Linked DNA regions of Tribolium castaneum. The protein of the gene in region 1 purifies or fractionates together with the protein of each later gene. This does not show direct contact. Links are inferred from orthologs where the notes say so. Each region holds a gene or a part of one and is shown on either strand. Other genes may lie near its edges.

Region 1 (3,925 bases):
TGATGTGCTCTTTACGATCGAACAAACCGTTTTCTTCTAGCTCTTTTAGTTTGGCCGTAATCGGCGTTTGAAAATTGAAATTTTTTTTGCGAGATATCGCCTTAAGTCCTATGCCATTTTGTAGAGTTTTTTATTCCGGTTATCCTCCATTTTTCCGTTTCTCTATATCTTTAATAGTTTCGCCGTAATTGGCGATTAAAAATTGAAAAAAAGTGAAAATGGAAACCTTTTTTTGCGTTTTTCTCGGAAACTGTAAGACTTAGAGCAACGAACAAAAAACCATCTGATAGCGCTTAATTTTGTCTAATTTCTCGACCAAACCCGGAGCCGCTCCGGGCAACGGTTCCGGCTACAGAGGCGATCAAAGTTTTTCACTAAAAAAATTCATAAAAAAAAAACTAAAAGTCGTAGAGCATTGCGGTTTGTTCGGTTGAATTCTACGGCTCATTTTACATATTATATCGATTTTTCACAAGAATTAAAAATTTAAAAATTTTTGCCTAAATTTAGGGTAGCCATTTGTCATAGTGAAAAATTTTATTCATTAAAAAAATTCATAACTCGAAAACTAAAAGTCGTAGAGAAGTGCGGTTTGTTCCATTGGATTCAGCGGCTTTTTTCCTTTATTATACTAATTTTTCACGCAATTTAAAATTTTCTATTTTTTTGCTCAAATTTCCTGAGTATTCTTGTACCTTCAAAGAGATGAAAAAAAAATTGTTAAAAATTGTTGTTAAAAGTCCACAAAAAGTCCATATGTTCAATTTTTTGATGTTTGATTTTTTCAATTTTTGTCGCGATTTTGGTCGATTTCGGGTACCCGGAACATTTCTCGAGCAATAGCTCCGGAACTATTAGAGATAACCCCATGAAGTGTATTATCGTTGGAAAGCTCTTTTAATTATCTATCTTTTTCAAAAAGACTACTGTTCTCCGACTAACAGTTTTCGAGAAAACTGGAAATAAAAGCAAAAATAGGTAAAATTTTAAAAAATTCATATCTAAAAAACTGTTGGGAATTTTGCGATTTTCTTGACGCCAATCGATTCAGCGGATCATTTTACATAAATTTACATCAAACAATTTTACATATATATTTGTCGTAATTGGAAAAAAAATTCCAAACACAAAATAGCAAACGTGTTATTTAGTTATTGAGATACAGAAAAAAAAATCTTTTAACAAACTCATCTTGTATGAGTCGAATGTAATGCGCAACAGAAACTTTCCTTGACTTTTAAACGTTGTGAAATAAAAATAGTATGTACATAATTTAGATTTTTTAAAATACAAATTATAAACAAAAGAGAAATACCAATTTGTTTAATATTGTTGGTAAAAAATTTGGAGGCTTTCCGGAACAGTGTTTAATTTTTTCATTTAAATGTAGTGTTAAAAATAGCACAAAAACGGGTGGTCCCACTTAACCTTCCGAATTCAAATAATAATAGTAAAAAAACAGTCTAGTATTTGCCGACTTGGCCCAACTCCAAAACGACAAAAATCACTACAAGTCCGAGCAATTAATCAAAATTGGGTTCAAAATGAGCCGTTTTCCACCTTATTATGTGTTTATTTTTTTTAAATAAAAACTGGGCTTTTATCGTTATCATTCTTACGTCAAACAAGAAATATCAATTACAAGTCAATTACCATCAGTGTTATTTTCGACGATGCTGGGGCTGGCTTTGGCCTCCCTCCCATCAGGCATGTACAGTTTAAGCGTTGCGATAATGCACCCATGGGTCACCTTCTTGTTGTTTTCAATGACATCGACCCCAAACTGGACAATGTCCCCCGAACTGACCTCATGGTGCTCCGTCTCGGCCACCAGGCGATTATTGTTGACGAAAGTCCCGTTGCTGCTCTTCGTGTCCTAAACCGGGGACTTTAGTCACAACTCACTCCCAAGGGGGCCCTACCTGAAGGTAAAACTTCCCGTTCTCGTACCAGAGCACCGCATGGTGCCTGGACAGCACCTTGCAGTCGAAGATGGCGTTGGCGCAGGTGGCTTTGGCCTTCGCCACCGAGCGCCCCACCTTGACCGGCTGGTCCAGCAGAAGGGTGCGCTCCTGGAAGGGGTGCGAGTTGGGGCGGCAGATGAGCACGGCTTTGGCGAGCATCTTGGCGTTGCTGCTCTTTACCATGGGGGTTGGGTATGCGGCCACATTCTTCACCCAGATCCCGCTTACAACGACCATCGCCTGGGGTCAAGTGGGGGCAACGAGATTAATTGACAGCCGACCAAAGCAGCACACTGACACTCCACAACGCGCTACAACACAACCAACTCACCTAAAACGCAACGATTTGGGGTTTTAGAGCGATTTTCATTTACTGGGTGAAGATATGTCAAAATTTGTGGGCGTGAAACTAGCTCAAGAACTAACGCAAATCGTACCAATTCTACCACATTTTTTGCACCCGAATCGGACCAGTTCGATCGCACCGACACCACGCACGGGATTTACATTTTTTACGAGGGGTTTTTTACCAAATTTATTGCAAGTTTTTATCGCGCAGTGACATTTTCGAGCACAAAGACAAGGCTGTGTTAGGGATTTTCGCCTTTCACCAGAGTGGCACCTCTGACCTTTCACCACCTAATTTCACGTCAAACGATTCGTAAACAGAAAGTTAGGTTACTTTAACGACAAAAACTTGAAAAAAATGGCAAAAAACACACCGGGGGACCGCGATAGCAGCCCCGATATGGAAATCGAGCGCGACCACAAGCCCATAGTCATACGCAACTCCACGGACTTGCAAAGACTCAAACTGGAAAAACTGATGAAAAACCCGGTAAGTGGCCCCTGAGAGTTGTTAGCATTGTTATAAATTGTGTAGGAGAAAGAGGTGATCATCCCCGAAAGGCCCAAAGAGCGGGGGGTTCCCGTGGTGCCTGATTTTGTACGTAATGTCATGGGGAGCAGCGCTGGGGCTGGTTCTGGGGAGTTCCACGTCTATAGACACTTAAGGAGAAAAGAGTACGCGAGACAAAGATACATGAAAGAAAAGGGCGAAAGGGTAATTAATTTGAATTATGCCTTCGTTATTTTTGAAAAAAGTCTTTAGGAAAAGTTGGATAACGAATATCATGCCAAACTTGAAGAAAACAGGAGGAAAGCGGAGGAAAGGACGGCGAAGAAGAGACAGAAACGACTAAAGAAAAAGCAAAAAATGAAAAAAAAGCCGAAGTTAGGCAGTAAGTCTTCACAAAGTGAAGCAACCGACAGTAGTAGCAGTGAAGAAGTTGAAAGTGAAGAATGTGAGAAAAAGAACGAAGAACAAACGCCAAGTGAAGACAGTAAGCCTACAAAGGAAGAAAATACAGAAGATCGGAAGGAGGGTGGAAAAGAAGACGCACCAAAAGAAACTCCTGATAACACTAATGACGAAATTAAATAAAAACCAAATAAACGTATTTTTAATTATTTGCCTGTTTTTTGTTATTATTTGATCATGCCTTTTCTATGGAGAACTGTAACTTATGAGACGAAACGAGATACATAAGTCGTACTATTTACGTATTTTTTGTATGCTATGTGCTAACAATAAAACAAATAAAACCTTTTTTTTTAATTGATTGCCCATTCTTATGAAAACAACTGCGTTCTCTAGCGACCTTAACGGAACTATCAGGGAGAGGAACGTTTTATTTGTAGGTGGCTTCGTATCCTAGCCTTTAAATCTCCGTAGTCCTACCTCTCTCAGTCCCCTAATTTTTTTATTTAAAAAAAATTTGTAACGTAAAATGGTGATATAACTGTTTGAGTTGCTTTCAGCGTTAATTTCTAATTCAAAGCATGTGTTCAAAACCCATTTTGTTCAAAACTATCATAGTGACACAACTTTTAAAAAATATTTCTAGCCCGGCGCCTCCACCAAAAATGTGAAATTATTAAAATTTGTACGAAATATTTTT
Region 2 (3,314 bases), on another chromosome or scaffold:
CCATTTGGAGTTATCGAAGTCTGACTGTATAAGAAATCGTAGAAAAATTCTGGAAACATTCACATGCATAGAAAAAACAAAGTATTTAATAGCAAACCCCGACTTTTGTGCAGTGATTAGTTTTTGAGATGCCGGAAAAAAGACGACTCTTGTAATGGTTTCATTAAATAAGTGTAAATGGAGCAGTCGGTTATTTGTTCCTGATTTTTTAGTCGTCTGTATCAGAAAATAAAAAAGTTACATCCCTACTGTCAGTAATAGGGTGGGTACAATTACTGGAGTCTTAAAAAATAAATTAGTGCGATCATGTTTCCTGTTACATTTTGATTTAGATCCTCATGTAACGATGATATTTTTGGAAACTTAAATTGCTACGTACCGTCGTAACAATTACGAGTGACATTCTACCAGTTGTATTTTTTCCTGTATCTTTTTTGATACCGTCTATTTATGGTAAATAACGGCTTCTCGAATGGTTGTATTGTGTAAAGTATGGGTATAACACGGGATAGGGGTTAATTAATAAAGCGAGACGTTCTTAAAATAGTCGTTTATTAATACAATTTATTACATATTTATTTTGATAATATAATACTATCTAAATTTTTGCACTCTTCACTAAAATATTTTCTATACAGGAATACTTTCAACAGTTGGTGGAAAATTTGTATTAGATTAATAAAAAACAACAAACAGCAAATTGTAGAACTCCGCCTTAAACCCATTCATAACAATACTCTTGTCTAATAAATTAATTAAAAAAATAGTTAATCACAACTTATTCACACTTTTGCTTAACAGTGGCAATAATCATATTAGTTTGGTGTATGAGGTAGAGTGCGCTAATGAAAACAGCGTCGGCACTGGAAAAAACAACGTAACAGGAAACGAAACAATGAAAACCAGCCCACTTACAGTCCTTGTTTAAAATACTCTTTAAGCGTGTTGCTGAAGCGTTTGGAAAACTTGACAAACTCTCTTTTGCGCTGCTCTAGCGCTTGTTTGCCAGTGGTTCCGGGAATGAACCCATTGACTTCATTTACGGCATCTAGTAACCTTTTAATGGCACTTGCGATTTCCCTGAAAACTCCAATAAACAACAAACAATCAGCGGTCAGCAACGTACTTGATCGTTTCGAGAAACGTTTTTCTGTCGTTGATCTCGTCGGGGATTCTGCTAAGAATGCGCTTAAGCGCCGCCGATTTGCGGTTGAGTTCCTGGAAGGCGTCTTCTGACCTGTTCAGTCTGTACTCTACAATTAAAATTAACACAAAACCACTAGAAAATCCGCTCAAATACCATCGGTTTCGGTGGCGGCGCCCTGCAAACGCAGGATGCTTTCGTTTAGGTTGACCGTGAGGTCCCCCTTTCGCATGATACCCAAAACAAGCTCATGGGTGAGGCCGGGACAGGAGGCTTCGGCTTTGGTGAGGGCGGAGCGGAGGGTCTGCGACGCCGATATGTCTTGCTTTTCGAGCTGGAATTTGTCGAATTACGCTTTTTGAACCGTTTTTACGCAATTACCTGGGAAAGGATGGGGCGTATCAGCACGGGAAGTATCAACGATGTGACCGGTGTTTCATCGCCCATTGTCATATTTCTCGGCTAGGGGTGGGTGGTGTGACGAAAAATACGTTGTTTGCGGGGCCCAACTGATAAGATAACGAAAAAATTTCAAGGAACAAGGTAAATATTTTTCTTAACTGTCAACTGTCACCGTTTGACAGGAAACTTGGCGTGACAAGTGCCCGAGTGTGTGTACGTTCGAATCACTTTTTTCTAATTATGGTCAACCGTTTTGGCAATTTTTTTCATAAAATGTGATTCCGTGTTTGACTTCCATGCAGTGCTAGTGATCTTTCGTTTTTTAACGGTTTTTGAGCGAGAAATTTTTTTCGGTTGTTTGCACAATCTGTCACACCGTTCTCCTAACCTCAAAAACCTGACTTGAAAAATGTGCAACAAACGTGATAAAAACAATGAAGAAGACGAAATGGACTCGGATTCGGACGATTCCGACGTCAGCATGTCCGATTCTGACGAAAACGAGTCTTCTGATGAAAACGAGTCCCCTGATGATCAGAATGAAGCAAACGGGGGGCCCGAAGAAGAGGAGGAAGATGAGGTGATTAAGGCCATTCGGAGCGCCGCTGAGAAGAAGCGTGACCACCCCCCTGTTATCCACTGCGAGGATTTTATAACGGATATTTCGTTTCACCCCCAGGAGGACTTGCTAGCTGTTGCGAGTATCGTGGGCGATATTATTCTCTACAAATACTCTAACGAGGAAAATTCGATTATTCGCACGTTGGAAGTGCATACGAAGGCTTGTCGAGACATTGAGTTTAGTGGAGACGGTGAAAGTTTATTTTCCGTGGCTAAAGACAAGACAATTATGATAAGTGATGTTGAAAGTGGGAAATTGTCCCGGTTCTACGACGAGGCGCACGAGTCACCGATTTATAGTCTTTTGGTGATTGATGAGAATTTGTTCGCGACTGGAGACGACGACGGGTGTGTGAAACTGTGGGATTTGCGGCAAAACGCCTCAAAGCCGATTTATCGAACTAAGAAAAACGAGGATTATATCAGCGATTTGGTAACGAACGAGGCTAAAAGTCTTTTGTTGTGTTCAAGCGGCGATGGTTCTCTTACAACAATAGATTTGAATAATCGAAAAATTCACATGCAGTCTGAAGAATACGACGAGGAGCTCACTTGTCTCGGGCTTTTCCGGTCGGAGAGTAAATTATTGGCTGGGTCGTCCAAAGGCCGATTGTTGCTGTATAATTGGAATGAGTTTGGGCTACATAGCGATATTTTCCCAGGGACTAAGTCCGCAATTAATGATTTGATTCCAATCACTGAAAATATCGTCGTGACTGCGTGCGAAGATGGGGTTTTAAGAGCGACGCATTTGTTCCCTCACAGACATCTAGGCATCGTGGGACAACATGACTTGTCCGTTGAAAAACTAGATATTTGCAACAACGGACAGTTTATTGCCTCCAGTAGTCACAACAATGACATCAAGTTTTGGAACATCAAGTATTTCGAAGATTTTGAAAAGGTTACCCATAAACATAAAAAGCATGAGAAGAAGAGGGAAATGCAGAATAATTTGCCCTCCTCCAAGGTGCAGAACGCGTCAGATTTCTTCAGCGGTTTATGCTGAAAACTATAAATACAGAAAACTGTAACTATAAATAAATAAATTTTATGATTCTGAAATGTATATTTTTATTTTAATTCAAATCGTAATGATTAAAACCGACGACGTATCATGTTTGAAATTAAAATACAGGCGTTTTCC

The links.
Region 2: the proteins of Slmap (region 1) and Ccm3 purify together in Homo sapiens (affinity purification with mass spectrometry; 3 studies listed by BioGRID and IntAct, counting the BioPlex papers as one, with this or other methods). This does not show direct contact. The link is inferred for Tribolium castaneum from reciprocal best matches to the Homo sapiens genes SLMAP and PDCD10.

What each region holds. Positions count from the first base shown.
Region 1 is NC_087399.1:2,656,144-2,660,068, forward strand, and holds the start of Slmap (sarcolemmal membrane-associated protein), read right to left. Parts: upstream 2,542-3,925; 5' UTR 2,402-2,541; exon of another isoform or gene 2,296-2,401; 5' UTR 2,202-2,295; coding exon 1,923-2,201; intron 1,877-1,922; coding exon 1,654-1,876; intron 1-1,653. Other genes in the region: PRKR-interacting protein 1 homolog, read left to right, coding at 2,671-2,802, 2,848-3,027, 3,076-3,408. UniProt on the Homo sapiens protein: Associates with the striatin-interacting phosphatase and kinase (STRIPAK) core complex, forming the extended (SIKE1:SLMAP)STRIPAK complex.
Region 2 is NC_087398.1:11,643,772-11,647,085, forward strand, and holds Ccm3 (programmed cell death protein 10), read right to left. Parts: upstream 1,735-3,314; 5' UTR 1,598-1,734; coding exon 1,526-1,597; intron 1,479-1,525; coding exon 1,301-1,478; intron 1,254-1,300; coding exon 1,127-1,253; intron 1,081-1,126; coding exon 916-1,080; intron 864-915; coding exon 779-863; 3' UTR 536-778; downstream 1-535. Other genes in the region: WD repeat-containing protein 55 homolog, read left to right, coding at 1,956-3,176. UniProt on the Homo sapiens protein: Promotes cell proliferation. Modulates apoptotic pathways. Increases mitogen-activated protein kinase activity and STK26 activity. Important for cell migration, and for normal structure and assembly of the Golgi complex.